4 linked regions of the Xenopus tropicalis genome follow. The protein of the gene in region 3 interacts with the protein of the main gene of each other region in a pairwise test. Links are inferred from orthologs where the notes say so. Each region holds a gene or a part of one and is shown on either strand. Other genes may lie near its edges.

Region 1 (8,083 bases), about 44 Mb from region 3:
ATTTTAATATAGTTTGATCCTCAGAGGTGGATTGTTGGATGATTGCCCCTCTGCAGCATAGAAAACTAACAGTATATGGGTCACTGTCAGCAATGAGGTTGTATGTTCTCCCTGGGTTTCTTCCCACATCTTAAACATAAAGGTTAATTGGTTCCTGATAAAATTGACTATAGTGGGTGTGTAAATGAGATATGGACCTTCTACTCATAGGCCTATATGGCTACTTTCCTCAGAATTAGATGCACGCACACTGAATGCACTGTATATTACTGTCTTTTGCCCATCATGCTGTTTGATAATTACAGTACAAATGCATGTTGCAGTTATTAGCGTGGGTTCCCTTTATGCTGTCAGCAGCCATAGGGAGAAAACAGGTCCTATCATCTTCCTGTTATCTGTCAGAATAGTGCAGATGGCGATACATGATAATGAACAGAAAAATAAATGACGCAAACTGCTAATGGCATACATTTGTCAGATTTCATCTTAGGCCTGTGGTTCAAAAGCAATTTTTCTGCCAGTGAGATTCATTTCAATGAGAGATGCCTGGCAGCAGTAGATATGTTCTCGTGAGCCTTTCAGGCTGAAAAAGTCCAGAACTGACTGTGCAGCATTTCTTGTTTTAGTAAATGGGCTGCAACAGGGGCAGTTTCAGCTGAAGTACACTGGCAAAGAGCACGCCCTGTGTGGCATTGGCCTTACAGTTTATTTTGTTTAATAGATGAGGCTTATAAAGGCATCACTGGATAAACCTTGCCTGTCTGCACACACTGAATAAATGCTTGTGTTACATTAGCTCAGGCTTATACCCCTTAATCTATTTACTTCAAAATGCTTGGTCCATGTACCAAGCACCAATAAAAGTAAAACTGACTTCACTTAACATAGACCTTTAATACCAGACCTAGTTGTTTGTGACTTAATTTGCATAAAATCCGCATCTCAGTTTCAGCTTGCCCCAGGTAGGCCAATTAATTATTTACAAAGATCGAGCTTGATCCTACTAGTTCCACAACAATAGTAGCAACTTGCATAGAAACAAGCTGTCCTTTTGGGATGTTGGTATATATCATATTTGGTAGTTTGAGCACTACAAACAACAGGTAAGTGTTACCATGCCCCCCACCCCCCCCATGTCAATAGATAATGTGCCCCCACACCACATAAATTGATAAATAATAAAAAGTAAAATTCCATCAATATACATGTGTACTTTCCAAAATAGGGGGTTTTCTTGGGTCCATTCGCTGTTTTTGCCGCTTTTACTACCCATAAAACAGTGCCATGAAAAATGTATGTTCATTTTGGGGTCTCAACATGGTAGAAACAGAAAGGGGGGTAAATGCCATGAATGTGTTGATTTTGCAGTAGCTTAAGTGCTCTCCATGACAATTGTTTTACACTATTTTATGGGGACTCTACCTGCCAAATACTGGCCATAAAAACGTTTAGTGGATCCTGGACAATTATATTTATAATTTTGCTTTCTACTAACTTGGGAGATAAGTTGGTGTAAAATAAAAGTTTTTTCAGATTTAACATCAGAGCTACTAAGTTTGTTTTAACTAATTCATAGGTCTACCAAATACAACGCAAACGCATCCATATTGTAACATAGGTCTGTTGCATTCAGTTGGCAGCTCTTAGGGCAATAAGAGACAGACCCCTATTGTAAAATATAAGGATATTATAAGTCAATGAGGAGTTCCATGACCACATAAAAAAGCACAATGCCAAAGGCCAGATTTATACAGGTTATGGTGACTTCTAATATCCTTATATTTTGCAACAGGGAGGTACTTTATTATTATTCAAAAACATTATTGTTAAAATGTTTGTTTGAGTGCCTTTTTGGGATATGTATGTAAGGGAAAATGATGAATACAGATATACAAGATATGAATTCAGATGTTGTTCTATATGCATTAGAACTGCTTTCGGCATCTGGTGATTTTGTTTGTGCCCAAGCCACCAGAATTAAGCTTGACTTTGGGCTCTGTTCACATGATTTATAACCATGTACTTTTGTTTTATTTTTACTCTTGTTTTATGTTTATTGAGTAACAACATAGTGCCATGTTAGCAGGGCAGAGCTTCCCTACCACAACCCACTTGAATTTAGCTCTGTGCTAAAGCAATTAATATAACCACATTTAAATGCAAAATACCAAACATTTAGTGCCATGGTTTGTTTCCTTGTTTATATATTAAACAATTGTTTGGGTTTACATTGAAAAATCTAAAGGTTGCAATGTTATAATATATCCTTACTTTTTTTCTCTATTTTATACTTCTTCTTTATACACCATCTGTCAGAGAGTTTGTAAGCCTGGCTTTTATTATTAGAAGTGGCCACAAAAGCATCTTAGGAAAATACCATGGGAAACATCTTTGGGAACCTTTTGAAGAGCCTGATTGGGAAGAAGGAAATGCGAATACTCATGGTGGGACTTGATGCTGCAGGAAAGACAACTATCTTGTACAAACTTAAGCTTGGAGAAATTGTGACTACTATACCCACCATAGGTAAATGCCTGAGGAAAAAGTGCACATAATTGGGTTCAGCAGTGTATTGTGTTTTTTATTGTTAGTGGGGAGTATTAACATCTTCATACAGTTATTGCTCATAGCTGTGGCAACATCTTTTGTTGAGTTAAATTGCCCGAAATAGGCCAACATGGGCCAAGGCACCAGGGCAAGACCCTGGCTTGTAGCCTCTGGACATTATAGCCACGTCTACCTTGTTAATTATTTCACAAGGAAATGTGACCTCCCTTTATACAGATATTGTTACTATTTTGTTATGGGTTTTCTTTGGAAAATTAATCTTAATGTTTGCTTCCTATTTCTTTCTTTATAACAGGCTTTAATGTGGAGACTGTGGAGTACAAGAATATCAGCTTCACAGTGTGGGATGTGGGCGGCCAAGACAAGATCCGCCCACTTTGGAGGCATTACTTCCAGAACACTCAGGGTGAGTGTGTATCCTTGCTTATGTGTTTTTTATGGGATTCCAGGTAGCACAGTCCCATGGGGCTCAGTTATTGTTGGGGTCCTGAAAAATAACACCTACAGTAGTCATTTTCAGTATGGAATGGGAGGTCCAAACTGTTGCAAATTGTATGGTCCCCACTGGATAAAAGTGAGTTTCTAATAGCTGCTTGGGTGTTACCTGTAGGCAGTATTCCTTGGCATAGGAAAATTTGTCCCATTGGCTTCACATTTTAAACAACTTTGTATTAGTTTCTGTTGTACTTTGCTTTGGGTGGTAAAGCAGTGTATAGTCAGAGATCCAGATCCTCTCTGGTTCAAAGCTGAATTCATGGAACTCAAACTTTATGATGTTTGGTGAAACCAAAGGGACTGAGTACAGCCAACAGTTATTACAGGTGGTTGATAAGATCAAATCATTTGATTAAAATAGTTTAGTAACAGTGTTCATATCCAGGCCATCATGCACTATGCCAGGACAGTTCTTTTATGTACTGAGCAAGCCTTGATAAATCCCCTCCACACACACAATTTGCCTTTCTAAGATGTAATTAATGATACACTTATGTAATGAAAATTGCACCAAGCAGGGGCTTTCAACAAAAATAAGAAAGGGACATTTGGCTGGGATCTCCTAATTCAGCTAAAAAGATCCAAATTTAAATTTCAGTCCTTTTTTGTATTTTATGTCTGAATTTATTGCTGTGGCTATGATTCAGTAATGTCTTCTGATTTTAATTGGCAAATTACAAGCTGTTCATATAAATATGTTGACTTATTGCTGGAAAATAAATTTAATTGAAAGCACTTTATTACAGTGACCTTCTCTTTTTTGTCTCTTTCCTCCCTATCCCTTTCCTCTTCTTTCATTTTTTTTTCTCAATTTTTTTTCTCAAGGAGCCGAGCCAGTTCATGTTGCTTATTTTACAGCTGTTTGCATATAAATTAAATAGAATCAGTCATCTGTCAATATAATGCCTCATTGTTTTTTCAGGGTTAATATTTGTGGTGGACAGCAATGATCGAGAACGAGTGAATGAGGCCCGTGAAGAACTGATGAGGATGCTGGCAGAGGATGAGTTGAGGGATGCAGTGTTGCTTGTTTTTGCTAACAAACAGGTTTGTGGTTCTTTGCTTAGCTAAATGGTATACTGTATGACATGCAAGCTTTATGGGCAAGTAGATTTATTCATGTTGGCACCATGACATTATTTATTTACATTTATATATTTGTCTGTGGTAGTAACATTGGCTGGGCTTATAGCACTTGCACGTTTCCTTTGCCAGTGCTATTGTTATTCTCTGCTTGCTATGTAACATAAACTTGACCGTCCATAATTACTTGCAGGATCTGCCAAATGCTATGAATGCTGCAGAGATAACAGACAAGCTGGGCCTGCATTCTCTCCGCCACCGCAACTGGTACATCCAAGCAACTTGCGCCACCAGTGGCGATGGCCTGTATGAAGGGCTGGACTGGCTAGCCAACCAACTGAAGAACAAGAAGTGAAGGTGCCAGTCCCATTTTGTCTCCAGCGTGCGCCTGACTCTTCCTCCCACATCCTTACTGTGCTTCCCCAGCCAAACCAGGTTGGGGTTGGCTCCTGGTACAGACCACACAATCCCTCCTGCTTCTCTTGGTTCCACATTTGCTTTCGTTGCCGTTTTGGTTTGGGGTGTTTTAATCGGGTGCCGTGTTTCTCCTGGTTCATCAAGCTGCTGTTACTTGCTGTTTTCTTTGTTCTTTGAAGATATTGGTTGGGAGTGGACAAGTGAGTCTTGGCAGTACATGCCTGAGTATTCTGCCCCCTGTAGACAGGGTTGGTTAGAGGGAAGGAATGGGAGCAGTGCTGTTTTGTGTTTATGTTGTGTGGAAGCTCCCTTTGCACATGATTGTGGGAATGTTTTTGGCTTCTTGTATTTGGTTTTAAATTATTTCCGTTTCAGTACTTCATCCAAGATGGTTTAAATAGTTAAACAAGGATCATATTATATTTTATTCTATTGGGAAAGGATACAATAAGCTTGGGTTCTAATATCATTTCAGAGGGTTGTGTTTTGGTGCAGCAGAGCAGTTTTAATAGATGACCAAACCTCTGGGAAGCAAAAAGAGAAATTGAAGGTGCAATAAAGAAGTTAGAAAGGCAATATATTCTTTTAGCTAGAGAAGTGTAGGCAGGCTTCCCACCGGGAGAGGCACTCCTTGCTTGTACGTTTCACAACACTTTATTGCTTTGTCAGTGAGAAGTTTCTTCTGTGAGGCAATGCTGTATTGTGCAACAGTGATGGAGGGAGGAACCCTCCCAGCAGCAAGGGTGCTTATACTTTGGTACTTTATAATATACAAAATATTTATTTTCCCTGTGGCACTTGTGTCTCTCCAGTAGTAAAGTATTAACTTGAAATAGTTCTTTAGCATTGACCTGGTTTTGTCATTCCAGTTTAAAGGAACAGTCCTCCTGCATGCATCAACTGTAGCAGTTACTTATTTCCTTGAGTAAATAAGATTTAAACTTGGTTAATTAGCTGTGTTATATTTACAATACAAGACACTGATAGGTTGGGAGGGCAAGGTAGAGAACCACAAATAGTTAAGTTGGCCGTACATGGGCAGATTTAAGGTTCTCCAGACTGATTTGGCAGCTTTTCTGCCCATGGAAGGGAACCCCCGGCAGGCCTACCTGACCAATATGTGGTAAAAATCGGGCAGATTTCTGTCGGACAGGTTTGATTTTTTTCCGTCGGATTGGGGACTGCATCGGCTCATTATTGTGGTCCTTGTTCTGACAGCTGCTATTCCTGTCATTGTAATTTGATCATTTGGCCCTATGGCCACTTAGGTGGGCATATCAAGGGAAAGTATAGTATGTAGTATAGTTTATAGCGTATGACCACCTTTAGTAGCCTGCAGACTGTCATCTGCTACTCCCCTTCCTTATCCTAGACACAAAGTGTTTAATTTGAGGAAAAGTGAGTTATTCTGCAGCAGAAAGAGTTGACACAATTTTACAACTGCCGTTATAACAATGCAAATATTAATATATTAGTGGTATTCTAGCCATAGCACATTGCTCTGTCTAACAAAATGTATAAAAACCAAGCATCAAAAATAAGCTAAATAAATGATAAAACACTGGATAACAAGTATATTTGGTATTAAACTGAAACTATTGTTACAGTTATCAAGCTAAAATGAGCTAAATGTACACTCACATTGCAGGCTCAGGTCACTAAATTAATCATTTGACATTAGCATGTCCAGCCTGTGACCTTTCTTTTGTTGTTGGGCTATAACTCAGTGTATAGTTAATGAGGGGTCCTGGGAGTTATTTGCAGGCCCTCGGGATGAGCTGCAGTTTTTGATCAGTTTGAGCATAGGACAGGCTTAGGAAGCATTAGCAATAAAACTAGTTTCTTGTCGATAGTCAAAAGTATTGTATTATTGCACTCCTGCCCTTTTCTCTCAAAGTCCCACACACTGTGGTACGTGCATGCTTTATACTCTCCCTTAAGGGTGGAAAGGCGCCCAAACATCAGCAGTAGGTTAATGCTGAAAAATGCAGGAAAGATCATTATTATAATGTGTACGGCCACCTTTAGTTTAGTTACATGTGATGCTAGTACATTCGCAATGTGCCTCCTGTTGTACTAGCTCTCTCTGTCTCAGCTACATGTGTATAAAGCTGAGGGACAGAAGTAGAGTTCAGCCAAGTGAGATCAGATATACTAAGGCTACTGGTACACTGGCAGGACATTTTGCCATGGGACAAAACAGCTGAAGTTTCCTTCCCAGCGAGACAACTTTGGGCTACTGTGCGGCAAGTGTTTTCCCACCAGACAAAATGTTCTGTGTGCTAGTACTCTAACTACATACTAATGTACAATGGCTTTTACCAGGGTTATTTAAAGGAGAAGGAAAGGCTAAATCACTAGGGGGTGCCAAATGTTAGGCACCTTCCAGTGATTGTAATCACTTACCTGAATCCTCCAGTTGGTGCTCCTGTTAGGAGAAAACTGCACCGGCCTGGGGTAAATGCAGACGAGTGATACTCTTTCTTCCTTCTCCTTTCGCAGTGATCCCGGGCCCTACACTGGTCCAGATTGAGATTATGTGATCGTTTGGCCCCTGTCAACAAACACATTGTAATAGTGGCCTAGGGAGGCCTTCTGGGAGAGGATTAGAGCAATATGCTGATGTGGTCCTTACTTGATTTTTAGCTCCATTTCTGTTGTAAGGAGCCCATACAAGGGACAATAAGCTGCTGATTTGGTCTGGAGGGGCCAAGTCAGCAGTCCATGCATGGCCACCTAACACTGTTTATGTGAGTATTGACTTATCAAAGGAACAGTAACACCAAAAAAGGGTTGCGTTTGCCTCAAACACTACTATAATTTCTATAAATTAACTGCTGCATAGCCATGGTGGCAGCCATTCAATCTGAATAGGCAAAAGGCTCATGTTTATACAGCATATGGATTAGCTTTACAGAATAAAATTGGTTTTAGTTCTTACACATGGGTCAAATTGCTGGATAATCAGATGCAAAATTTAAATTTTCACTTCTGAATCTTACGGGTCTTTAATACCTCAAGCAACTGGTAGTTAATCACTGGAGGAAGCCCTTGTAGCTTTTACTCACAGTATTTCTGTAAGTACTGGGGTGACTGGTACAAAATAATATGTTTACATTTGTTTTTCCTGTGTAATTGGGAGTTTTGCCTGACCTTATTTAGAAATAGAAATAACTACATAGACATTCCTAATGTCCTCTTAGTAGGCAGGTTGGCCAGCACAAGTGTTAAAATTCTTCAAAAGCGGCTAGCAAAGCACACCGGACAGCCAGGGCGTTCTGTAAAACTTAGTCTTCATTCATGTTGATAAAACCTTTTACGCCTGACGCGTTTCATGCATGCGCACTTAATAATAGGCATAGTGTTATCCATGTTATTCAAAGGGTTTATGCCGCTTGGGGAACTGTTACTCTGTTTAACATAAACTTGCAAGTTGATTGTTCAGTATGGAGGCACCTGCTATGCTGAAATAATATGTCATGTGTCCATATTGCTGTGTAGCAGTTAAATAACACCGCCC
Region 2 (7,547 bases), on a different chromosome or scaffold from region 3:
GGCATCTATCACCCTAAATAGCTTGACAAGGGCAGCGTCAAATTTGCGGCACTTATAACAACCTTTCACTCTTAACCTTTGTACCCTTTTGATCCCTCTTGGAACACACTCACACAACAACCCTTTTGTGGGTAGAAAAGGCCGCAGCCCGTTTATTTGCAGCATTATAAAATTTGCCATTATTACACATAACCCCATTTAACAATAACATATTAATGTAATTAAATAACATATCTTAATCTCTTGATAACACAATAACAATAAGAAGGCTGCTTTGTGGAAGCTGTACCTGCCCCCACCGCCATCAGTTCCTTGAGTTTAAAAACCCCCTTTCTCTAACCCCCACAGCCCCATTTACCACCGACCTATGGCTGTAATCCCTATACTCAGGCCTAACCTTCTGTCTACCTCTCCTTTGTCTGTTGAATCCTCGGCTGCGACTATGGTCTTGTTCCTCACATCTCCCTTTCTACCCTCTTTTTTCTTCTCAAATAAGGGAGGGAGGGTGGGAGCTTGTTCTCTCAAAATGGCCACTTTCCCCTATGCTCCTCCCCACTTGTCTCCTTCTTTCTTCACTCCAGCCAATCCCCTTCAGGACTACAATACCCATACTTCCTATCACCAAACACTTTCCCTGGGCCTATTTCCTATCCTTGTCATGGCCCCGTACCCTCAACTCCTGCCTCATTCTATTCCGGGCCCCCCTTCCCTACCAGAGGTGTGGGCTAATAGAGCCTGCAGTACTGTCAGGGGGGGAAACAATAGTTTATTTATATAAAAAACAGCCCTTGTTGGCGCTAGGCCACCCCTACACTGAGAAGGAGCTCCCAGTGTGGGCAGCCATGTTATTTTGCGAGGCTCCTTGCTCATTCATTATGAGCGTGATGTAGGAGCAGTGGATACAACTCCCTCGCATATGTTACACACATGCGCATAATGAATGAGATGTGGCACTTGCTCGTTATGTGCATACGAGTGCCCTAACATGGCTGCCCGAACCTGGAGTTCCCTCTTGGTGCGGACAGCCTATACTGTAGGGGGCTATATTTTGTAAAAAAGACTATTATTGCCCCAACTGGAGTGTGGGCTCTATTAGCCTGCAGCTCTGGTAGGGGAAGCAATTTTAGGGTGATCAGCCTGAAGAAGAGATGTAACACTATAATCTCTAAAGCATGAAGTGCTATTACTGGAAAATACTATTGTGGTGTAAGAACAGGTTATTAACAAACTTGCAGGAAAGGTTTCCTTCGGCAGCTATGCCTATAGATTATTATTATTATTATTGGCTTTGTTCAGTAGGGAACACCCACAGCCCAGAGAATTCCATGTCTTCAGGAACTCTGGTGGTTCCTTGTACATGGATTATTCTTCTAAATGACCAGAATGATTAGACAGCCTAATATTTCCTAGTATTTCCATTAGGTTTATTAGCCTTTTAAAGAAAGAAACGTAGACAAGCACAGCTTTAGAAGCAAGACCAGAAGATATTGTTTTGGAAATAGGTTTGGGAGCGAAGGTTCCTACTGTAGTGTCCTCTCCAACCCATACCCTGCAGGCTGATAGAAAAATGGGAGAAACCCATTTCAATTAAAGGTTAACTATACCCCTTAACCATGTAGTTCTCGATAAACATATATTGCATTAAACAGCTCATATGCTTCATCTAGATTGACCATTACCATAAAAATATACTTTTTTAGTAATATGTGCCATTGGGTAATCCTAAATAGGAAATACCAAGGGCCGCCCCCTGGGATGTTATGATTTACAGTGCACACAAACAAGCCAAGGCACACATACATGCTAGGCCCCATCAGCCAATGAATGGACAGAGTTCTGCCTTTTGCTCCGACACTACTTCCTGTTACAGTTAGAGCTGCATCACTTCCTGTCAGCTGATCTCTGAGGGAGCACACAGCCCATCACAAAATGGTGGCTCAAGGGAAAGGATGTAAAAGGGTAATACTGATATATATATTCCAGTTTGGCGAGATTCTTTAATAGGTCACTTAATATAATATAAACTATCTGTTGGTTAGGTACTCATTCTGGGGGTATAGTTTTCCTTTAAATGTTCAATATTTTGTTAATGGATCCTGAAGGGCCCCTCTCTGAGTGCTGCCACTGCTCCGGTGTTGCAATCTCTTTCCTTCTACCCAGTGTAAACATTACATAATGACTTGCTTATCTGTGGCAGAAACAGTTATCGCGCTTCCCTGATCATATCTATTAATAAGACTGGGCCGGTTTGTAGAGAAATGCATCAGTTGGTGTTACAGTCATGTGCATTCTTAGTTTCCAGGGTGGAGAGATGAATTAAGTATGTTAAAGGTCTCCGTGAATGTGTCCCACACTTATTTTTACATAAACTACTGTACCACAACATTTTTTTTTTAATGCTGTATCACAGGGATCCCCAACCGGAGGACCTGGAAGAAACTTTGCCCTGTAGGGATTTTAGTGCTGCACTATACTGCACTAGAGGTTTATATACCACTGAACATATCAACCATACAGATCTTTGTGCTTCTAAAGGAACATGGGGAGGCAGTGACACGTGTAGAGGCCAATAAGACGACAGTCATACTGTTTGTGACTCATCCATTCAACCCATTGGCTGATTGGCTGATACCTGATCAGCCTGTACATGGCCACCGTAAGACGTGTGTTTGTGCCCTCAAATTTTGAGGCCAGCAAACACCTTGAATTATACTACATACAAGGAATATTGTGTAAATACACATAATTCACTACATTTTATGACCAACCCTCAACTTTTTGCACACAGGGTAGCGAGAGGCTTGGAGGCATGCAAATAATATTACACCAGGGGGTTACTCCAGTACAGCTGGATAGTAAGAGATAAAACTTCATTCAGTAGTTGCCAGGGAAATTAGTTTAGCAAATCCACAGTCAAGGGTTCAAGCCCAACCATGAGCAGTGCAGGTAAGTCAATGTAACCTGAACAGAACCTTTGTCCCTTGCTCAGTAAAAGTTTCTAGAACTCATGGGAGTAAATAATAGTCAGATGAAGTGCTGAAAACTCATTTTTTCTCAAGGTGAGAAGGAAGATGGACTCTAACAAAAGGCGCCTTGGTTTGTTTTCCAGGACCTCGCTTACCACTTGACCGCATTTGTATTCTATTTTGGAGCCTTCGTCCTTGAAGCTGCAGTGACCTCTCTAGCAAATCTGATGCGGAAGGAAAACTCGACTGTCATACACCTTGATAATCGCATGCTTGGGCTGAACGTGGCTGCCACGGTATGTACCTATAATCTGCGTAGTATTTCATGCATAATGGATCTCGCCTGGATAATGAATGGTAACCGAGGCCCCGCCTATCTCTATCAGTTCTGGTACAGGTATAGGACCCGTTATCCCGAATGCTTGGGACCCAGTTTTCCGGATAAGGGGTCTTTCCGTAATTTGGATCTCCATACCTTAAGTTTACAAAAAATCAATAAAACATTAATTAAACCCAATAGGACTGTTCTGCCCCCAATAAGGGGTAATTATATCTTAGTTGGGATCAAGTACAGGTACTGTTTTATTATTACAGAGAAAAGGGAATCATTTAACCATTAAATAAACCCAATAGGGCTGTTCTGCCCCAATAAGGGGTAATTATATCTTAGTTGGGATCAAATACAGGTACTGTTTTATTATTACAGAGAAAAGGGAATCATTTAACCATTAAATAAACCCAATAGGGCTGTTTTGCCCCCAATAAGGGGTAATTATATCTTAGTTGGGATCAAGTACAGGTACTGTTTTATTATTACAGAGAAAAGGGAATCATTTAACCATTAAATAAACCCAATAGGGCTGTTCTGCCCCCAATAAGGGGTAATTATATCTTAGTTGGGATCAAGTACAGGTACTGTTTTATTATTACAGAGAAAAGGGAAATCAGTTTTAAAATTCTGAATTATTTGATTAAAATGGAGTCTATGGGAGACAGGCTTTCCGTAATTCGGAGCTTTCTGGATAACGGGATTCCGGATATTCTCTTTCCTGCTATGTTTATTTCTCATGTATTCTGCCTAAAACTTACATTATGATGAAAAAGCTGCTTCCTCGCACACCTGTGTTGTCTAACTGGCCCTTTAAAGGAAATTATATATACATATTACATACTCTTCCTTAAACATTATGACATGGCTGCATCCCTACACACCCCTGTTGCCTAATTGGCACTTTAATAGAAACTATATATGCATATTACTTACATCTTCCTTAAACATATATTATGACATAGCTGCATCCCTTCACACCCCATCTTGGCCAACTGGTCCTGTAAATGAAACCATATATAGTGAACAATGTACCCCCTGTTGTGAAATATAAGACTATTATAAGTCACATTATGAGTCCCTTGACCATATAAAGGCAAAAAAATGGAACAGGCTGAACTAAGGGTAGGCAGAAGACATGCCTAGTGCAGAATGGTGGGGGGCTCATACCTCTTCTGCCTGCATTCTACTAGTTTTGGACCTTCTGTAATGGTGGCAGCAGGCTATCAGTTCTCCTCAATTCTAAAGGGGAGCAGTGTGATTGTCACGCTCCACGGGTGGTGGGGCATTGTCTTGGGCGCTCGTTTGACTTGTGGCCCAGCGCTGATGGATGACGTCACTAAGCACTGTTTATAACTTCTAGAACATTCATGGCTTCATATTACTGTTTCTTCCTTAGATTAAATTATGATGATATAGCTATAAGGTCCTCTAGTTGTAGGTCTTAAAACAATTATACCTCTCCCCTGCCAGATCCCATTTTCTGTTCAGATGAATATCAAGAGGGGACTTCTCAGGAAACCCTCATGTAGGCATCCCAGCATGATCCCCCACTGATATCACCAGTATCACCTTCTACTGTATTTGATATTTTTCACCACTGTGGTGAACCATGACGGTCAAATCATCTGGTCATAGAGCAACAGGTTACTCTCAATACAGTGAAGTTAGCTGCCAGACTTACATAAACAATCTACTATGCAATGGTATCATTTCTTAATATATCCTTATGTTTTATACTTTTTCCCTCTGGTTATTATCTAATAAAGTTACTCTGCAAATAGGTGCAAAGTCTTTCTCTGTTCAGTTATGCTGCAATGGAATGCGGGTGAAGTGTGCTTTAGATAAGCTGATACCATGTCATGTTCTTACTATGCGAATGCCAAGTATTGAAACAATCCTTTTATTGCTGTAATTAAATAACTCTGTCAAATGCACATTATATTGCTCTATAAACGTAAGGCAGTTCTAGTTATTCTTTAAAGCCAAGGGCAACTGAAGGGTCAGAATTTGAGCAAGACCAACATAAACCATCCCAGTTATCATCTTGCTCTGCGGCACCTTCTATTTCAGCCTACAGCTGCTCTTCTGCAGGTTCCCACCTTTATTGAGGAGATTGTGTGAGAAAGCCAAGGGCTCAGACTGAGCAGTAATTGTGTGTCTCCCAGTGGGAATCTGGGACAGAAACTGTATCCAGGAGAAAAAGGTGCAGTTATCGTTATCCAGGAAACCCGAGTTCCTTGACGTTTGTGTACAATGGTTGCTGGGGCAGCACCAAGCTGTGTTGCTTCTCTTTTGTTCCCTTCTGCACTGACAGATAATGGTTAAATATATTAGCAGTTTCAAAACTAAAAATAAGTTACCCTTATATTTATTTTTGTACATTTCCAAGACTATTTTATATGCAACAATAAACCAATAAACCATCTTATGCCTCTGATGATCATTCTAGAAGACACAAGGGCAAGTAAGTAAGGAGATAATTTGAGAGTGTGAAGAGGGTTTCTTTTACAGTGGATATACTGGCAGAGACATTAGATAGCTTTAAGAAAGCATTAGATGTCTTATAGCAAGTGAAAAGCTACCAATATTAATACATCCAGGTCCTGGCTTCCTTCTGAAGCACAGACAGCATTAATAGACATTATCCGGTATTTGTCTCTTTGTGCAATCATAGGCATTGAGCTGGACAGAAAATGGGATCAGATGACCCCATATATATCAGATTTATGAGAAATCTGGACCTTTATAGAGCTGTCTACTGTGTAGTACAAGCCTGTACTTATAATGTGTATAACCTGTATTATGGGGGGTGGGGTTTGATCACATCATTTGTGAACCTAATGCAAGAGGGGGGTTGAGGTTGTTGCATGAGTTTCCTCATCTCTAGTTCAATAAGAGCATCCATGACTTGTGCTCTATCCCATTTCTTCTTCTCTCCTACCCCCTAACTTAATTACTTAAGTTATTCTCCCCCACCCCTGCATTCATCCTATCTTCTAAAATGTAATTGTCTCCAAAAAGTGAATATTATTTTTCAGTATGTCTTTCCTTTGCTCTTGGCATTATTTTATTCTCCTAAACTCCCATGTCTATGAGGGCAAACACACTTATTGTGATTTTTTTTCCCCCCCACAGATATTTGCTTTTACGGTTACCGTTTGTTATGGCTGCAGCATGGTCCTAGGTTTTCGGCGATGGAGGTCTTAAGCCGCTAGAAGACCAGGCAGACACCTTATCTGAAACTGGTGCAAGTTAATGGATGTTAAGAGAAAGAACTGTAATCTAGAACGTTTCAACGAAGAGATCAGTCAAGGAAGACTTACTGGAAGAATGAGATCCAGATATCAGCAGAAGGAGAAACAAAGAGAAAGCCTCCTTCTAACATTCAATGTGCATGGATTTGCGGCTGTAAGATCCTGCTGCAATATTCAAGTAAAAAAACAGACCAACAAGAAGCCTGGTTTAAGCATTTATATCTGGTTAAGCAGCAATGACAATATTATACAAGGCCTTCAGCACAGTCTAGAGGTCTTAAATTATTTAAAATCATCATAATATCAATTTTGGGACCTACAACCAAACAGCCATGAAGAAGATATTGCAATAATTCTAAGGTTTGCAATGTTTGCCAAAGAAATACTATTATGCGCCATCACCGCCCTGCTATTTGTTATACTGAAGCTACAGCCAATAATAAGAAGACTAAAGTACACAGAAGAATGTGTTCCAATATTGCCGGCTAAAAATTTGTCTTAGGGGCATTCTGGATATTTTGTTGCCCGGGCAATTTCTGAGCTGGAGAGCAGGCAACAACAATCTCAGAATCACTCCCCATTCACTAAGATGGCAATCAGTTGGACTCAAAGGAACCTCAAGTCACAGATTTTGCCAAACTGAAGAACAGGAGGGTGAGGGGTGTAGATGGTTGGTCAGAGGTTTTCACAAAAAAAGGCTTGGATTGGAAGAATTCAGATGGGTTCATAGCTATCCAGCATTAAATTTAGTGCTATATTTCATGGGAACAATAGGTCAGGTTAAGCATCTGATGAAGTGATGAATAACTACTAGCTCAAATGGCTACTCATAATCCATAGTCATCAGTGTTTTCTTAGATTTGCCCCAGCTCAATACTTGGAATAGCTGAAACTTGCACTTGTATGATGTCTTTGGTTGCAACAAACCCCCTGTATTATTTCAATGCCCAAGAGCCAACACTTGGATCTGTAAAATTGTACCAGCTTTAGTATTTT
Region 3 (8,083 bases):
CAGGGTATCCCCTGTCCTACCCCCCTGTCCTACCCCCCTGTCCTACCCCCCTGTCCTACCCCCCTGTCCTACCCCCCTGTCCCACCCCCCTGGGGCAATCCCTGTCCTACCCCCCTGTCCTACCCCCCTGTCCTACCCCCCTGTCCTACCCCCCTGGGGCAATCCCTGTCCTACCCCCCTGTCCTACCCCCCTGTCCTACCCCCCTGGGGCAATCCCTGTCCTACCCCCCTGTCCTACCCCCCTGTCCTACCCCCCTGGGGCAATCCCTGTCCTACCCCCCTGTCCCACCCCCCTGTCCCACCCCGGAGACTATGTAAGGCCCAGTGTATCCCCTGTCCCACCCCCTCTGTCCCACCCCCTCTGTCCCACCCCCTCTGTCCCACCCCCTGTCCTACCCCCCTCTGTCCCACCCCCCTGTCCTACCCCTGTCCCACCCCCCCTGTCCTACCCCCCCGTCCCACCCCCCTGTCCTACCCCCCCTGTCCCACCCCCCCTGTCCCACCCCCCCCTGTCCTACCCCCCCCTGTCCTACCCCCCCCTGTTCCACCCCCCTGTCCCACCCCCCTGTCCTACCCCTGTCCCACCCCCCCTGTCCCACCCCCCCTGTCCCACCCCCCCTGTCCCACCCCGGAGACTATGTAAGGCCCAGTGTATCCCCTGTCCCACCCCCTCTGTCCCACCCCCTCTGTCCCACCCCCCTGTCCTACCCCTGTCCCACCCCCCCTGTCCTACCCCCCCGTCCCACCCCCCCTGTCCTACCCCCCCTGTCCTACCCCCCCCTGTTCCACCCCCCTGTCCCACCCCCCTGTCCTACCCCTGTCCCACCCCCCCTGTCCCACCCCCCCTGTCCCACCCCCCCTGTCCCACCCCGGAGACTATGTAAGGCCCAGTGTATCCCCTGTCCCACCCCTCTGTCCCACCCCCTCTGTCCCACCCCCCTGTCCTAACCCCTGTCCCACCCCCCCTGTCCTACCCCCCCCGTCCCACCCCCCCCTGTCCTACCCCCCCCTGTCCTACCCCCCCTGTCCCACCCCCCCTGTTCCACCCCCCTGTCCCACCCCCCTGTCCCACCCCCCTGTCCTACCCCCCCTGTCCTACCCCCCCTGTCCTACCCCCCCCTGTCCTACCCCCCGTCCTACCCCCCGTCCTACCCCCCCGTCCTACCCCCCTGTCCTACCCCCCTGTCCTACCCCCCCTGTCCTACCCCCCCTGTCCTACCCCCCCTGTCCCACCTCCTGTCCTACCCCCCTGTCCTACCCCCTGTCCTACCCCCTGTCCCACCTCCTGTCCTACCCCCTGTCCTACCCCCCCTGTCCTACCCCCCCTGTCCTACCCCCCTGTCCTACCCCCCTGTCCTACCCCCCTGTCCTACCCCCCCGTCCTACCCCCCCGTCCTACCCCCCCGTCCTACCCCCCCGTCCTACCCCCCCTGTCCTACCCCCCCTGTCCTACCCCCCCGTCCTACCCCCCCTGTCCTACCCCCCCTGTCCTACCCCCCTGTCCTACCCCCCTGTCCTACCCCCCCCTGTCCTACCCCCCCTGTCCTACCCCCCCCGTCCTACCCCCCCCCGTCCTACCCCCCCCTGTCCTACCCCCCCTGTCCTACCCCCCCCTGTCCTACCCCCCTGTCCTACCCCCCTGTCCTACCCCCCTGTCCTACCCCCCTTGGGCAATCCCTGTCTGTTACTGTCATTGGTACCTACCCCCACCCCGACAATATCTGCCCGGGGTACCTACCCCCCTAACTATAACTGCCCAGGGTATCTACCCCCCTAACTATAACTGCCCGGGGTACCTACCCCCTAACTATAACTGCCCGGGGTACCTACCCCCTAACTATAACTGCCCAGGGTACCTACCCCCCTAACTATAACTGCCCAGGGTACCCACCCCCCTAACTATAACTGCCCAGGGTACCTACCCCCCTAACTATAACTGCCCAGGGTACCTACCCCCCTAACTATAACTGCCCAGGGTACCTACCCCCCTGCGTGTAATCACTGCCAGTACTAATGAATGGTCTGTGTAATGGCCTGTTACTGTCATTGGTACCTACCCCCCCCCCCCCACCCAAAAAAAAATATCTACCCAGGGTACCTGGGACAGACACAGGGAAAGGGACAGACACAGTGACAGTTACACATAACTATAAACCCAGTGAGAATGAGGAATGAATGGATATTGGGGAGTTGTATCAGGAGTCAGAACCAGCAGTGCAGGGAAGGGAAAGGGACAGACACAGTGACAGTTACACATAACTATAAACCCAGTGAGAATGAGGAATGAATGGATATTGGGGAGTTGTATCAGGAGTCAGAACCAGCAGTGCAGGGAAGGGAAAGGGACAGACACAGTGACAGTTACACATAACTATAAACCCAGTGAGAATGAGGGATGAATGGGTATTGGGGAGTTGTATCAGGAGTCAGAACCAGCAGTGCAGGGAAGGGAAAGGGACAGTGACAGTTACACATAACTATAAACCCAGTGAGAATGAGGGATGAATGGATATTGGGGAGTTGTATCAGGAGTCAGAACCAGCAGTGCAGGGAAGGGAAGGGACAGACACAGTGACAGTTACACATAACTATAAACCCAGTGAGAATGAGGAATGAATGGGTATTGGGGAGTTGTATCAGGAGTCAGAACCAGCAGTGCAGGGAAGGGAAAGGGACAGACACAGTGACAGTTACACATAACTATAAACCCAGTGAGAATGAGGGATGAATGGGTATTGGGGAGTTGTATCAGGAGTCAGAACCAGCAGTGCAGGGAAGGGAAAGGGACAGACACAGTGACAGTTACACATAACTATAAACCCAGTGAGAATGAGGGATGAATGGATATTGGGGAGTTGTATCAGGAGTCAGAACCAGCAGTGCAGGGAAGGGAAAGGGACAGACACAGTGACAGTTACACATAACTATAAACCCAGTGAGAATGAGGAATGAATGGGTATTGGGGAGTTGTATCAGGAGTCAGAACCAGCAGTGCAGGGAAGGGAAAGGGACAGACACAGTGACAGTTACACATAACTATAAACCCAGTGAGAATGAGGAATGAATGGATATTGGGGAGTTGTATCAGGAGTCAGAACCAGCAGTGCAGGGAAGGGAAAGGGACAGACACAGTGGACAGTTACACATAACTATAAACCCAGTGAGAATGAGGAATGAATGGATATTGGGGAGTTGTATCAGGAGTCAGAACCAGCAGTGCAGGGAAGGGAAAGGGACAGACACAGTGACAGTTACACATAACTATAAACCCAGTGAGAATGAGGGATGAATGGATATTGGGGAGTTGTATCAGGAGTCAGAACCAGCAGTGCAGGGAAGGGAAAGGGACAGACACAGTGACAGTTACACATAACTATAAACCCAGTGAGAATGAGGGATGAATGGGTATTGGGGAGTTGTATCAGGAGTCAGAACCAGCAGTGCAGGGAAGGGAAAGGGACAGTGACAGTTACACATAACTATAAACCCAGTGAGAATGAGGGATGAATGGGTATTGGGGAGTTGTATCAGGAGTCAGAACCAGCAGTGCAGGGAAGGGAAAGGGACAGACACAGTGACAGTTACACATAACTATAAACCCAGTGAGAATGAGGAATGAATGGATATTGGGGAGTTGTATCAGGAGTCAGAACCAGCAGTGCAGGGAAGGGAAAGGGACAGACACAGTGACAGTTACACATAACTATAAACCCAGTGAGAATGAGGGATGAATGGGTATTGGGGAGTTGTATCAGGAGTCAGAACCAGCAGTGCAGGGAAGGGAAAGGGACAGACACAGTGACAGTTACACATAACTATAAACCCAGTGAGAATGAGGAATGAATGGATATTGGGGAGTTGTATCAGGAGTCAGAACCAGCAGTGCAGTGAGAATGAGGAATGAATGAATACTGGGAGGTTGCACACAATGACACTCATGCAGGGGTGGGTGCCATTAATACCCCGGGTACCTATTCTGCCCCAGGTAACCTCCCCCTTCCACTTATTGACACCTCTATCACAGCTGTGAGATGTACCTGCCCTTTTTAACTGCCCCAGACACCTTCATCTGTGTTATTGGTGCCGCCTGTATTGTTACTGTGCTCCTGTGGGATTGGCCCCTGTTGGTACCAGTACCAGTGTGTAACAGACTGTGTGTCCCCCCAGGATAACGATGTCTGATGGGATCATGAGCAAAGCTGCCACCATGGAAATTGCCATCAGCAGGAATGGGGTGTCGGGGGCGCTGCACGAGGATGAGAGTCTGGAGCAGGTGGGTCACTATTACTCTGCGTGTAGGTATCATTGGGGGGGTCTTACTCTGCGTGTAGGTATCATTGGGGGGTCTTACTCTGCGTGTAGGTATCATTGGGGGGTCTTACTCTGCGTGTAGGTATCATTGGGGGGTCTTACTCTGCGTGTAGGTATCATTGGGGGGTCTTACTCTGCGTGTAGGTATCATTGGGGGGTCTTACTCTGCGTGTAGGTATCATTGGGGGGTCTTACTCTGCGTGTAGGTATCATTGGGGGGTCTTACTCTGCGTGTAGGTATCATTGGGGGGGTCTTACTCTGCGTGTAGGTATCATTGGGGGGTCTTACTCTGTGTGTAGGTATCATTGGGGGATCTTACTCTGCGTGTAGGTATCATTGGGGGGTCTTACTCTGCGTGTAGGTATCATTGGGTGGGTCATGAGTATATAGGTAGGTTTGGGTATATATGAGTATATAGGTAGGTATGGGCATATATTAGTATATACAGTAGGTAGGTATGGGTATATATGAGTATATAGGTAGGTGTGGGTATATATGAGTATATAGGTAGGTGTGGGTGTACATGAGTATATAGGTGGGTGTGGGTATATATGAGTATATAGGTTGGTGTGGGTATATATGAGTATATAGGTAGGTTTGGGTATATATGAGTATATAGGTAGGTATGGGTATATATGAGTATATAGGTAGGTGTGGGAATATATGAGTATATAGGTAGGTATGGGTATATATGAGTATATAGGTAGGTATGGGTATATATGAGTATATAGGTAGGTGTGGGTATATATGAGTATATAGGTAGGTATGGGTATATATGAGTATATAGGTAGGTTTGGGTATATATGAGTATATAGGTAGGTATGGGTATATATTAGTATATACAGTAGGTAGGTATGGGTATATATGAGTATATGGGTAGGTATGGGTGTATATGAGTATATAGGTAGGTATGGGTATATATGAGTATATAGGTAGGTATGGGTGTATATGAGTATATAGGTAGGTATGGGTGTATATGAGTATATAGGTAGGTATGGGTGTATATGAGTATATAGGTAGGTGTGGGTGTATATGAGTATATAGGTAGGTGTGGGTATATATGAGTATATAGGTAGGTGTGGGTATATATGAGTATATAGGTAGGTATGGGTATATATGAGTATATAGGTAGGTATGGGTATATATGAGTATATAGGTAGGTGTGGGTATATATGAGTATATAGGTAGGTGTGGGTATATATGAGTATATAGGTAGGTATGGGTATATATGAGTATATAGGTAGGTGTGGGAATATATGAGTATATAGGTAGGTATGGGTATATATGAGTATATAGGTAGGTTTGGGTATATATGAGTATATAGGTAGGTATGGGTATATATGAGTATATAGGTAGGTATGGGTATATATTAGTATATACAGTAGGTAGGTATGGGTATATATGAGTATATAGGTAGGTATGGGTGTATATGAGTATATAGGTAGGTATGGGTGTATATGAGTATATAGGTAGGTATGGGTATATATGAGTATATAGGTAGGTATGGGTGTATATGAGTATATAGGTAGGTGTGGGTGTATATGAGTATATAGGTAGGTGTGGGTGTATATGAGTATATAGGTAGGTTTGGGTATATATGAGTATATAGGTAGGTGTGGGTGTATATGAGTATATAGGTAGGTTTGGGTATATATGAGTATATAGGTAGGTATGGGTATATATGAGTATATAGGTAGGTATGGGTATATATGAGTATATAGGTAGGTATGGGTATATATTAGTATATACAGTAGGTAGGTATGGGTATATTTGAGTATATAGATAGGTATGGGTGTATATGAGTATATAGGTAGGTATGGGTGTATATGAGTATATAGGTAGGTGTGGGTATATATGAGTATATAGGTAGGTATGGGTATATATGAGTATATAGGTAGGTATGGGTATATATTAGTATATACAGTAGGTAGGTATGGGTATATTTGAGTATATAGATAGGTATGGGTGTATATGAGTATATAGGTAGGTATGGGTGTATATGAGTATATAGGTAGGTATGGGTATATATGAGTATATAGGTAGGTATGGGTATATATGAGTATATAGGTAGGTATGGGTATATATTAGTATATACAGTAGGTAGGTATGGGTATATTTGAGTATATAGATAGGTATGGGTGTATATGAGTATATAGGTAGGTATGGGTGTATATGAGTATATAGGTAGGTATGGGTGTATATGAGTATATAGGTAGGTATGGGTGTATATGAGTATATAGGTAGGTATGGGTGTATATGAGTATATACAGTGGCTTGCAAAAGTATTCGGCCCCCTTGAACTTTTCCACATTTTGTCACATTACAGCCACAAACATGAATCAATTTTATTGGAATTCCACGGGAAAGCCCAATACAAAGTGGGGTACACGGGAAAGCCCAATACAAAGTGGGGTACACGGGAAAGCCCAATACAAAGTGGGGTACACGGGAAAGCCCAATACAAAGTGGGGTACACGGGAGAGACCAATACAAAGTGGGGTACACGGGAGAGACCAATACAAAGTGGGGTACACGGGAAAGCCCAATACAAAGTGGGGTACACGGGAAAGCCCAATACAAAGTGGGGTACACGGGAGAGACCAATACAAAGTGGGGTACACGGGAAAGCCCAATACAAAGTGGGGTACACGGGAGAGACCAATACAAAGTGGGGTACACGTGAGAAGTGGAAGGAAAATCATACATGATTCCAAACATTTGTTACAAATAAATAAGCGCAAAGTGGGGTGTGCGTAATTATTCAGCCCCCTTGGGTCTGAGTGCAGTCAGTTGCCCATAGACATTGCCTGATGAGTGCTAATGACTAAATAGAGTGCCCCTGTGTGTAATCTAATGTCAGTACAAATACAGCTGCTCTGTGACGGCCTCAGAGGTTGCTAAGGGAATATTGGGAGCAACAACACCATGAAGCCCAAAGAACACACCAGACAGGTCAGGGATAAAGTTATTGAGAAATATAAAGCAGGCTTAGGCTACAAACAGATTCCCAAAGCCTTGAACCTCCCACGGAGCCCTGTTCCACCGATCATTCAGAAATGGCAGGAGTATGGCACAACTGTAACCCTACCCAGGCACGGCCCCCCCCCCTAAACTCACAGGCCCAACAAGCGCTGATCAGAAATGCAGCCAAGGGGCCCATGGTGACTCTGGGGGGGCTGCAGGGATCTACAGCTCAGGGGGGGGAATCTGTCCGACAACTATTAGTCGGGCACTGCACAAAGTTGGCCTTAATGGAAGAGTGGCAAGAAGAAAGCCATTGGTAACAGAAAACCATAAGAAGTCCCGTTTGCAGTTTGCCACAAGCCATGTGGGGGGGGGGGGGGGCAGCAAACATGTGGGAGAAGGGGCTCTGGTCAGATGAGACCAAAATGGAACTTTTTGGCCAAAATGCAAAACGCTATGTGTGGCGGAAAACTAACCCTGCACATCACTCTGAACTCACCATCCCCACTGTCACATATGGGGGGGCAGCATCATGCTCTGGGGGGGCTTCAGCAGGGACAGGGAAGCTGCTCAGAGTTGGTGGGAAGATGGATGGAGCCAAATACAGGGCAATCTTGGAAGAAAACCTCTTGGAGTCTGCAAAAGACTTGAGACTGGGGCGGAGGTTCCCCTTCCAGCAGGGCAACGACCCTAAACATAAAGCCAGGGCAACAATGGGTTAAACATATCCATGTGTTAGACTGGCCCAATCACAGCCCAGATCTAAATCCAATGGAGAATCTGTGGCAAGATCTGAAAACTGCTGTT
Region 4 (8,575 bases), on a different chromosome or scaffold from region 3:
ATAAATAAAAATATACATACCTCTAACCGCCGCGTCAGGCGGCTGACTTCAGATCTTTCCTCGTCTACTTTATTCTTCATCTCTGATCGCAGGTGCTTCTTCTGTACTTTCTCGTAACTTTTTTTTAATCTGTTTAACTGAGCAAAACAGTGAAATATTTTAAGATCCTAAAAATACTGCTTTAAAAGAGAAAGAAAGGTAAAAGTAAGCTTTATCAGAAAGGTCTATGTAAATACAGCCATAAGCACTCACAGAAACGCTGCACTGACTTCTTTGTCAAAATATTTCTTGTGTCTGTAATTCCTGTGCCACAGACATGCAGCTTTCTGCTCTCTCCTGCTCCCCCCTCCCTCAAGAATCCTAAGAACTCACTCCCCACCTTAGGAATGTGAATCTGAGCCAATCAGCAGGAAGCTGAGCATGTTCACTTGGTCTGGGTGTCTGTGCAGGAGTGAGGCATTATGGGAACTTTCTTTACACAGCTCAGCGTTTTTTCTTCCTGTTTGGCTTCTGATCTTCTGAACGGGAGAAATATAGGGAGACTTAAGGGCACTACTGAGAAGGTATGCCTGCAGCTTGAGATTAACTCTTTACTAGCCTTTCCTTCTCCTTTAATGAGGGCACAGATTGTATGGAGATAAAAGGCAGATAGGCCAGCTGTGTTATGAAAGCAAATCCAATGACACGCAAGGACATGTTGGATAAGGCAGGGCTAAAGAGTATTGCTCACCTCCTCCTTAAAGCCTGACAGTTGAGCCTCATACTGTACAGTCTTATTCTGAGTCTCTTCTTCCTGCTGTATGAGCTGCTGTCTCAGTCTTCTAACCTGTAGGAATCAGATTAGTTTATCCCCAAAAATACACATAATTCAAAGATAAATAATGTACATCCCAAACTAACACAGTTGTGTACTAAATGCTCATGGAACATATGTATCTGTGAGTGTCATAGACAGGAGGGAGGAATAACCGAGGTCTGAGAGAGGGGTATCCTGTGGAGTGGTCAAACTCAAAAGGGGGAATTCACAAAAGTGGCAATATTGAGACAAAATAAAAATGCAGATAGACTTGTCGGATTTTCCACCTTATTCACAAATCTCTATCTCCACTTTTGTAAAAATTTTTTAGATTTTGTCTTTTAGATGTAATTTTACTGACAATTTGTCTTTTGCCCTTTTAAAATCTGTTGGTGTGCCATCAAACCCAGACCCACATCTACACAAGCCTTGGAATAACAATTTTACCTGCAGAATTGTAGCATTTTATTTGCCAGTCATTTCACTTTAGGGGCATTTCCTGAAGGGGAATTATAGTTTGCCCATGAAAACTATCAGTTTCTTAAGGACAACCTGGACTTTATAATTTTTTGTGTAATTCCACTTCTGTAACAAAATTTAGGGGTCTAAATACCAAAGTTTTATTTTATATGTGGAAATACAACTGATTTAGAAATCGCCATGTTTCATGAATATGCCAGTGCCAAATATGTATAGTTTTATGGAGTGTCAGTGAAGTGCTGCTAAAATTAAAAATTACCTGGGAGGCGTTACTGTTCCTTCCATTATATATAAAGATTTAATAATGCAAATATGAGGTAAAAACTTGTTTATGAAAATGTTAATGATGGTTTTTGCAGCTATTGTTCTAGGGTTTCTGTTTGTCCCCTGACAATAGGCCGCTAATCCCTATCAATCTGCTAATGATCCACCAATGGTGCTCCTACAAGAGGTGTGACTTGAAGAATGGGTGAAACAAAGCAAAACAGAAGATCTTAGAATTGACCTGAGAGAGTTACACTGAGCTGTACGCCATTTTGGAAATGTCTGGGGGCCTCTTAGAGATTAATATGCAGAAGAGGAAATATCTATATTTCAAACAGGAAAACAAAGTGACCAATTCTTATAAATAAGGCATAATATACAATAAGTGCACTAGACTGCACTAATCCTAAGCCACAATGCTGGTTCTGTCTGTAACTTCTCAACTGGTCTACCTCCTGGTTTAAGTGATCTTCTCTGTCCAGTGAAGATTTCAGCTCCTGCTCTTTCAGCTCTAGACGGGTCTTGAGTGTTTCAGTCTCTGCTTCCCACTGCGACCTCTTGTGATCCAGCATAATGTCTATCTGCCTCATGAGTTCCTGCAGCTCAGCCTCACAGGAGCCTTGCAAAGACCTAATGAAGATGAACACAGAGTTATAAAAAAAGCAGCAGATGTAAATAAATATGTTTATATATTGGTTTTCAGACTCACCCCTTACAGTCATACATTTAATTGACCAGTCCTCCTTAATTTTAAAGCAAGGTATAGATAAATACAAATGTTATTATATCAGTAATAATAACAGTATTAGAATTATTACTGACTTCTAATAAATGTTCACCTCAAATCTAAAACATGCTGGGCGATTAACAGAATTGATCCCACTGTCCAAACCTGTAACTTAGGTTACTCACCCCATTCTCTCTTGTTGCTGAATCCCTTGTAACAAAGCTTCCATTCCGTTTATTTAACAGCCTGCAAATGGCTATTACTAGAAAACACAGAGAGGGCACAGAAAATATTTTAGCAAGAAAAATAGTACCACTGGTGCTACATATACTGTTAGGGCATAGACACATGGGGGAATAGTCGCCATGGCTATTAAAAAAGTAAGCTGTGGCAATTAATCGCGCAATGGGCAGCGTATAAGTAGCTGCGACTAATCACAGGCAGATTATTTGCTGTGACTTTTTTCAAAAGTTGTGGCAACTAATTGCAACATCTTCCCCCTTAAGAACTATAGAAGCACAGCCTTGAGATATACAGTCTTTGCGAGTGCGCAAACACTAGACCATCCAAGAATCATGTAACACATCTCATTTTATTGGAACTTGATTAAAACCTGCTTGACGCATCTCGTGTCTTGCCCTTAGTGATAAGCATAAAACCATTCCATCTGTATATCTGGGTGTGTGATCATTCGGCACTTTTCCCTTAAGATATACAATTGGAATGGTTTTATGGTTATGACTAAGTACAGGACACAAAACGCATCAAGCTTGTTTTAATCAAGTTCCAATAAAATGAGAAGTTTTACCCGATTCTTGGATGGTCGGTGGTCGAGTGTTTGCACACTCACAAATATTGGATGCCAGAACATAGTGCTTTTATACCGCCATTGTGCTGAAAATTTTCAGCACTATTGTAGTATAAAAGCACAATTATTATTTATGATGCATGGAGTGCTGGTCCTTTATCTTCTATAAAGCTTTGATTGTGCACCTTCAGTTGGCAAGAGTATTGTGTGCAGACTTTATCTGAGAAAATATATAATATATATATATCAATCCAAATAGCACTCCAAATAGCACTCCAAGGCTCAATATTCTGCGGGGTGCACAGCCAAAATTTAACTACACAGAAAATAATAATCATCCGTGGCCGGCACACCCTTCAATACTTTATCAAAAATTTATTGAAAACATATTGTTTAAAACAGACGTTTCAGTCCTCATTAGGACCTTTCTCAAGGATCCTTGAGAAAGGTCCTAATGAGGACCGAAACGTCGGTTTTAAACAATATGTTTTCAATAAATTTTTGATAAAGTATTGAAGGGTGTGCCGGTCACGGATGATTATTATTTTATATATATATATATATATATATATATATATATATATATATATACGGATTGGAGATTTCAAAGCGACAGGCTGCTTTCATTATCTCTTAAAGTCGAGAGTCTTATTTCGATTGAGTTAGGCCTAATACATCTTTTAGGCAAAAGGAACACCCCCCAAAGGATGTTTTAGAATTCACTCTCTCACAATCACCAGAAATCCTGTCCCTTTATGTGCAGGCTATGTGCCAAAATCAGTTTTGTTACATTTTGTTTGTGCTAGAATCAATTATTTAAGTGAGCTGTGACACATTTGCTAGGAATGGGAGCCCGCACCCCAAAGACATAGTAGATTTATCAATCAAAATCAGACTCCTGACACCTGCATGAGGACAGAATGAAGAGACGAGGGGGGGAGTGAAGAGTCACTTGATTATTTCAGAAAAGCTCCAAAATCTTTAATTGAATATATTTAAGAAATGTCCTATTTGGCATGATGTAGCTTGTACATATGTTGTGCACGATGGCTTGTTTGCACAAGATACAGGATTGGGCACCATATCACACAAATTTCACACCATAACTTTACATTCTGTCGACTTTAAAAGGAATGTGATAATGCATTTTTTGTAAAAATATTCTGTCCACAAGTTACAGTCTGTGCTGGGGGGATCAGCGCTGTGAGTGATACATGGGCGCTCAGGGAATGATCCTGTACTTGCCATCTCCCTAAGCCCCAACTCGCCCAGCCCCATTCCCAGACTGGTGTCCTTTCCTTTCCATTCCTTTGTGTTTGCAGGACATGTAGCCCCAAAACCCTGAAACTCCTTCAGAAAAGATGTTTAAAGGGGAACTATTGCGATAATGAAAGTTTAATATCCCACTGCTCATTTAACAACTTTGGAATCATTTCTCCCCAGTGCTGGAAGCCAATGGAACATAAACAAACGTCCAGTTTCCATTATTTTGACGGCACTAGGCTGACAAAATCAACTATATATGAATTCACCGACGCCCATTGATAGCAAAAAGAAGCCGCACTTGAAAATAGAGGCATCAAATAAGTCTTTTCCTCGTCCCATAGTCAGTCAGTAGAGGGACCGGGTATGGCGGTGAGACCGGCACAGTAACAGGAAGAGCAGACGACCTTACCTCCCCAGCAAGGCAGCCTAGACGAGAAAAAGCGGGGAGGTTAAGGGCTAACTCCCAAATGACACTGTAGGGAACATACAGTCATGTGATCCCCATTGCGCGCTAAAGTCCCCGATCCTAAGGGTGAGCGCTTCCGGGTACACAGATCGCTGCAGTTACTGATTGGTTGGAAGCAGAGGGCGGGCTGTTTCAAACAAACCTACGGTAGCCGTACTGGGACATTCGTAACCAGAGGCATTGTCCTGGAAGTTACAGCGTGAACAGTCTCCTAATCTGCCTCTGCTTAGTGGACGAGCGTTGTGTTTGGGGCAGCAGTTTCCAGACTTTAGAGAGCCCCGCCAAAGGTTGAATTTGGGGGAGAACATGTAGTTGTAAATATAGATATCATGGGAACTTGGGCCGGTACCCTATATAAGTTACCCTGAAACGTGACCAGAGAAAGTCCCTGCTGTGCCCAGTGCACTCGAGGGTTTATTTTCTCACGATTTTTATAGATTTTTCAAGCGTCTGTATAAGGATGTTTTAACCAAGAGTGTAGGTGGGCCAGTGATATCCATGCTAGGTGCAGCCCCACTGCATTCTATTCACTTGTATAGGGATTCTTAGGGACATATACTGTATATATATCAGTGGAAGTGAGGGGTCACTCTGATAAATTCCAAAACTATCCCATACACTTGTGTAAGAGCTGCGTAGTTTCACTGTGGCACAATGTGAGCCCTAGTTCTTTATGAAATATTCCTCTCAGTGCAAAGTTATTCCAGACAGGACTTACTGAGCCTAAATCAGCAGAATATCCCAGTGCATCAGCCTGTTTTTCTTACCCACAATGCCAAGTCCTTCCTACAATTCCAGCCTAATAGCAGGTGCCACAACCTGGCTGAGGTAACAATGCGGACACCCAGGGCCACCATCAGAAATCACGGGGCCCCTCACAACAAAAATTTCTGGGCCCCCCTCCCACCAGTACAAAGGACTCACAGACATGGTACATTGGTAGCCAGCAGTGCCCCCCCCTAGTACATTGGTAGCCAGCAGTGCCCCTCTAGTACATTGGTAGCCAGCTGTGCCCCCCCAGTACATTGGTAGCCAGCTGTGCCCCCCCAGTACATTGGTAGCCAGCTGTGCCCCCCCAGTACATTGGTAGCCAGCAGTGCCCCCCCAGTACATTGGTAGCCAGCAGTGCCCCTCTAGTACATTGGTAGTCAGCTGTGCCCCCCCAGTACATTGGTAGCCAGCTGTGCCCCCCCAGTACATTGGTAGCCAACAGTGCCCCCTCAGTACATTGATAGCCAGCAGTGCCCCCCCTAGTACATTGGTTGCCAGCAGGGCCCCCCTAATGCATTGGTAGCCAGCAGTGCCCCCCAGTACATTGGTAGCCTGCAGTGCCCCCCCCAGTACATTGGTAGCCAGCAGTGCCCCCCCAGTACATTGGTAGCCAGCAGTGCCCCCCCTAGTACATTGGTTGCCAGCAGGGCCCCCCTAATGCATTGGTAGCCAGCAGTGCCCCCCAGTACATTGGTAGCCAGCTGTGCCCCCCCAGTACATTGGTAGCCAGCAGTGCCCCCCCAGTACATTGGTAGCCAGCAGTGCCCCCCCTAATACATTGGTAGCCAGCAGTGCCCCCCTAGTACATTGGTAGCCAGCAGTGCCCTCCCTAGTACATTGGTAGCCAGCAGTGCCCCCCCTAGTACATTGGTAGCCAGCAGTGCCCACCCTAGTACACTGGTAGCCAGCAGTGCCCCCCCTAGTACATTGGTAGCCAGCAGGGCCCCCCTAATGCATTGGTAGCCAGCAGTGCCCCCCCTAGTACATTGGTGGCCAGCTGTGCCCCCCCAGTACATTGGTAGCCAGCACAGCACAGCCCTCTGCGTCTAGTTCGTCTCCTCCAGCGTCTTCAGCGGCGGCGGCATCTTCAGCAGCGGCTTCGGACTCCCCCGGCGAGGTCCTTCCTGGACGACACCTCTGCATTTCTGAGTGCCGAAAGAAGACAGGCCCTTTTATAAGGTTGGGCCCTGTGCGTACTGACGTGCATGTACGCACGGGGCGCGACCAATAGGATCACCCGCTGACCACCAATGACAGGGCCCGGAACTGATTAAAGGGGGCCCGAGCTACCCTACCCTTACCCTGCCCAGACTCAAGGGGAGTTGGGATAAAATGGTGTGCATCCTCTCTGTGCTGTCCTCAGTATTACTATCATATAACAACTGTATGTGAGTATATTGCTATAACCCTGCATATTGTTTGTCTCTGACAATAAACCAGTTCTATTGTTTAACTGCAAGAACCTTCTGGTGCCCATTCTTGTTACGTTGCACTGCCCACAGCTACAGTGAGTTGTAGTTGCACTACACCTTAGCTCTGTTGGTCACTTCCACATAGTGAAGGCCCATCCTGAAGGATTGAGTTGCATGTGCCCCATGCTCTCAACCCTATACTAGCCAAATAGGGCTTACAGGTACAACATGCTAAGGATACAATAATGTAACACCTGTAGGAGTCTTCATTCCAGGGTATCCGTGAGTCAGTGTGCCTTGCTCGCCATTTATCAGGGCAGGCAGAACTGGAGCCTGTGTAGATGAAAGAACCTTTCTCCATGGTTATAAAGAATTAAGGCGGCCATACACAGGCAGATCTCAGCTGCTGAATCGGGTCCTTCAGAACGATCCGGCAGCTTACTGCCCATGTAAGTGCACCTCCAACAGGCCTACCCAACCGATATCTGGCCTAAAATTTCCATCAGTTCATTTATGCGGCCCTCTGTCCGACTGCTCCTATGCCCACAAAAAAGCAAATCTTAGCGTGTCTTACCTTAAGCAAGGATGTGCACAATTTAATGCTTCTCATTTGTGCAGACTATTGCCTTGTCTGTCCTGATATTTCTCCACCATCCTAATGCAGCTGAACTACAGATCCCTGCATCCACTAACAACTTGCTCGATACTGTGCACAAATAATTTCTTTGCATTACTATTTCTTTGCAGTTTAACCATCTAGTTAACTCATTAGGAACTCATTTTTTGCACAAAATATTATTGTTTCCCCCATTTGGAGTGTGGGTGATATTAGCCCATGACTTTGGTGGGAGAAATCATTTTTTCTGATAGGTGCCTTTTAAATCAGGGAGTTGACATGTCTGCCGAGGAGAAACGCTAAAAGACTATGACTTAAAGTTCTCATGGCATATTAACAGGCCAAATCTTTGGCTGCTTATTTAGTTGTGAGACTAAAGTGCTTAAAGCGTTAAAGGAATACTGTCATGGGAAAACATGTTTTTTTTCAAAACACATCAGTTAATAGAGCTTCTCCAGCAGAATCCTGCATTGTTACCCATTTTTCAAAAATACCTTTTTTTATATGTTATTTTGAAATTTCACATGGGGCTAGCCATATACTTCATTTCCCAGGGTGCCACAGCCATGTGACCTGTGCTCTGATAAACTTCACTGACACTTTACTGCTGAGCTGCAAATTGGAGTGCTATCACCCCCCTCCCAGCAGCCGATCAGCAGAACAATGGGAAGGGAGCAAGATAGCAGCTCCCAGTAGGTATCAGAATAGCACTCAATAGTAAGAAATCCAAGTCCGGCTTGGGACTCCTCCAGTTACACGGGAGTAGGCGAAACAATAAGTTACCTGAAAGCAGTTCTAATGTGTAGCGCTGGCTCCTTCTGAAAGCTCAGACTCAATGCACTGAGATGGCGCCTACACACCAATATTACAACTAACATGTAATACATTTATTGGTGCACACATGCAGTGTAGTAAAATTTTGGCGAAGGTGGTGGTGCTGGTAAGAATATACCCCAAGCAAGTGCATTT

What was found.
Region 1: the proteins of arfip2 (region 3) and arf3 interact in a two-hybrid assay, tested with the Homo sapiens proteins (2 studies listed by BioGRID and IntAct). The link is inferred for Xenopus tropicalis from reciprocal best matches to the Homo sapiens genes ARFIP2 and ARF3.
Region 2: the proteins of arfip2 (region 3) and mal2 interact in binary tests that used the Homo sapiens proteins (3 or more experiments, as listed by UniProt). The two-hybrid records come from large-scale screens. The link is inferred for Xenopus tropicalis from reciprocal best matches to the Homo sapiens genes ARFIP2 and MAL2.
Region 4: the proteins of arfip2 (region 3) and cep63 interact in binary tests that used the Homo sapiens proteins (3 or more experiments, as listed by UniProt). The link is inferred for Xenopus tropicalis from reciprocal best matches to the Homo sapiens genes ARFIP2 and CEP63.

Annotation. Positions count from the first base shown.
Region 1 is NC_030678.2:136,299,026-136,307,108, forward strand, and holds part of arf3 (ADP-ribosylation factor 3), read left to right. Parts: intron 1-2,316; 5' UTR 2,317-2,378; coding exon 2,379-2,526; intron 2,527-2,863; coding exon 2,864-2,974; intron 2,975-3,985; coding exon 3,986-4,110; intron 4,111-4,339; coding exon 4,340-4,501; 3' UTR 4,502-8,083.
Region 2 is NC_030682.2:137,860,875-137,868,421, forward strand, and holds part of mal2 (protein MAL2), read left to right. Parts: intron 1-3,109; coding exon 3,110-3,262; intron 3,263-6,432; coding exon 6,433-6,504; 3' UTR 6,505-7,547. UniProt on the Homo sapiens protein: Member of the machinery of polarized transport. Required for the indirect transcytotic route at the step of the egress of the transcytosing cargo from perinuclear endosomes in order for it to travel to the apical surface via a raft-dependent pathway.
Region 3 is NC_030678.2:180,353,832-180,361,914, reverse strand, and holds part of arfip2 (arfaptin-2), read left to right. Parts: intron 1-4,167; coding exon 4,168-4,273; intron 4,274-8,083. UniProt on the Homo sapiens protein: Plays a role in constitutive metalloproteinase (MMP) secretion from the trans Golgi network. May have important functions during vesicle biogenesis at certain cargo subdomains, which could be predominantly utilized by secreted MMPs, such as MMP7 and MMP2.
Region 4 is NC_030681.2:130,319,873-130,328,447, reverse strand, and holds the start of cep63 (centrosomal protein of 63 kDa), read right to left. Parts: upstream 4,923-8,575; 5' UTR 4,640-4,922; intron 2,530-4,639; 5' UTR 2,497-2,529; coding exon 2,453-2,496; intron 2,171-2,452; coding exon 1,993-2,170; intron 827-1,992; coding exon 731-826; intron 138-730; coding exon 21-137; intron 1-20. UniProt on the Homo sapiens protein: Required for normal spindle assembly.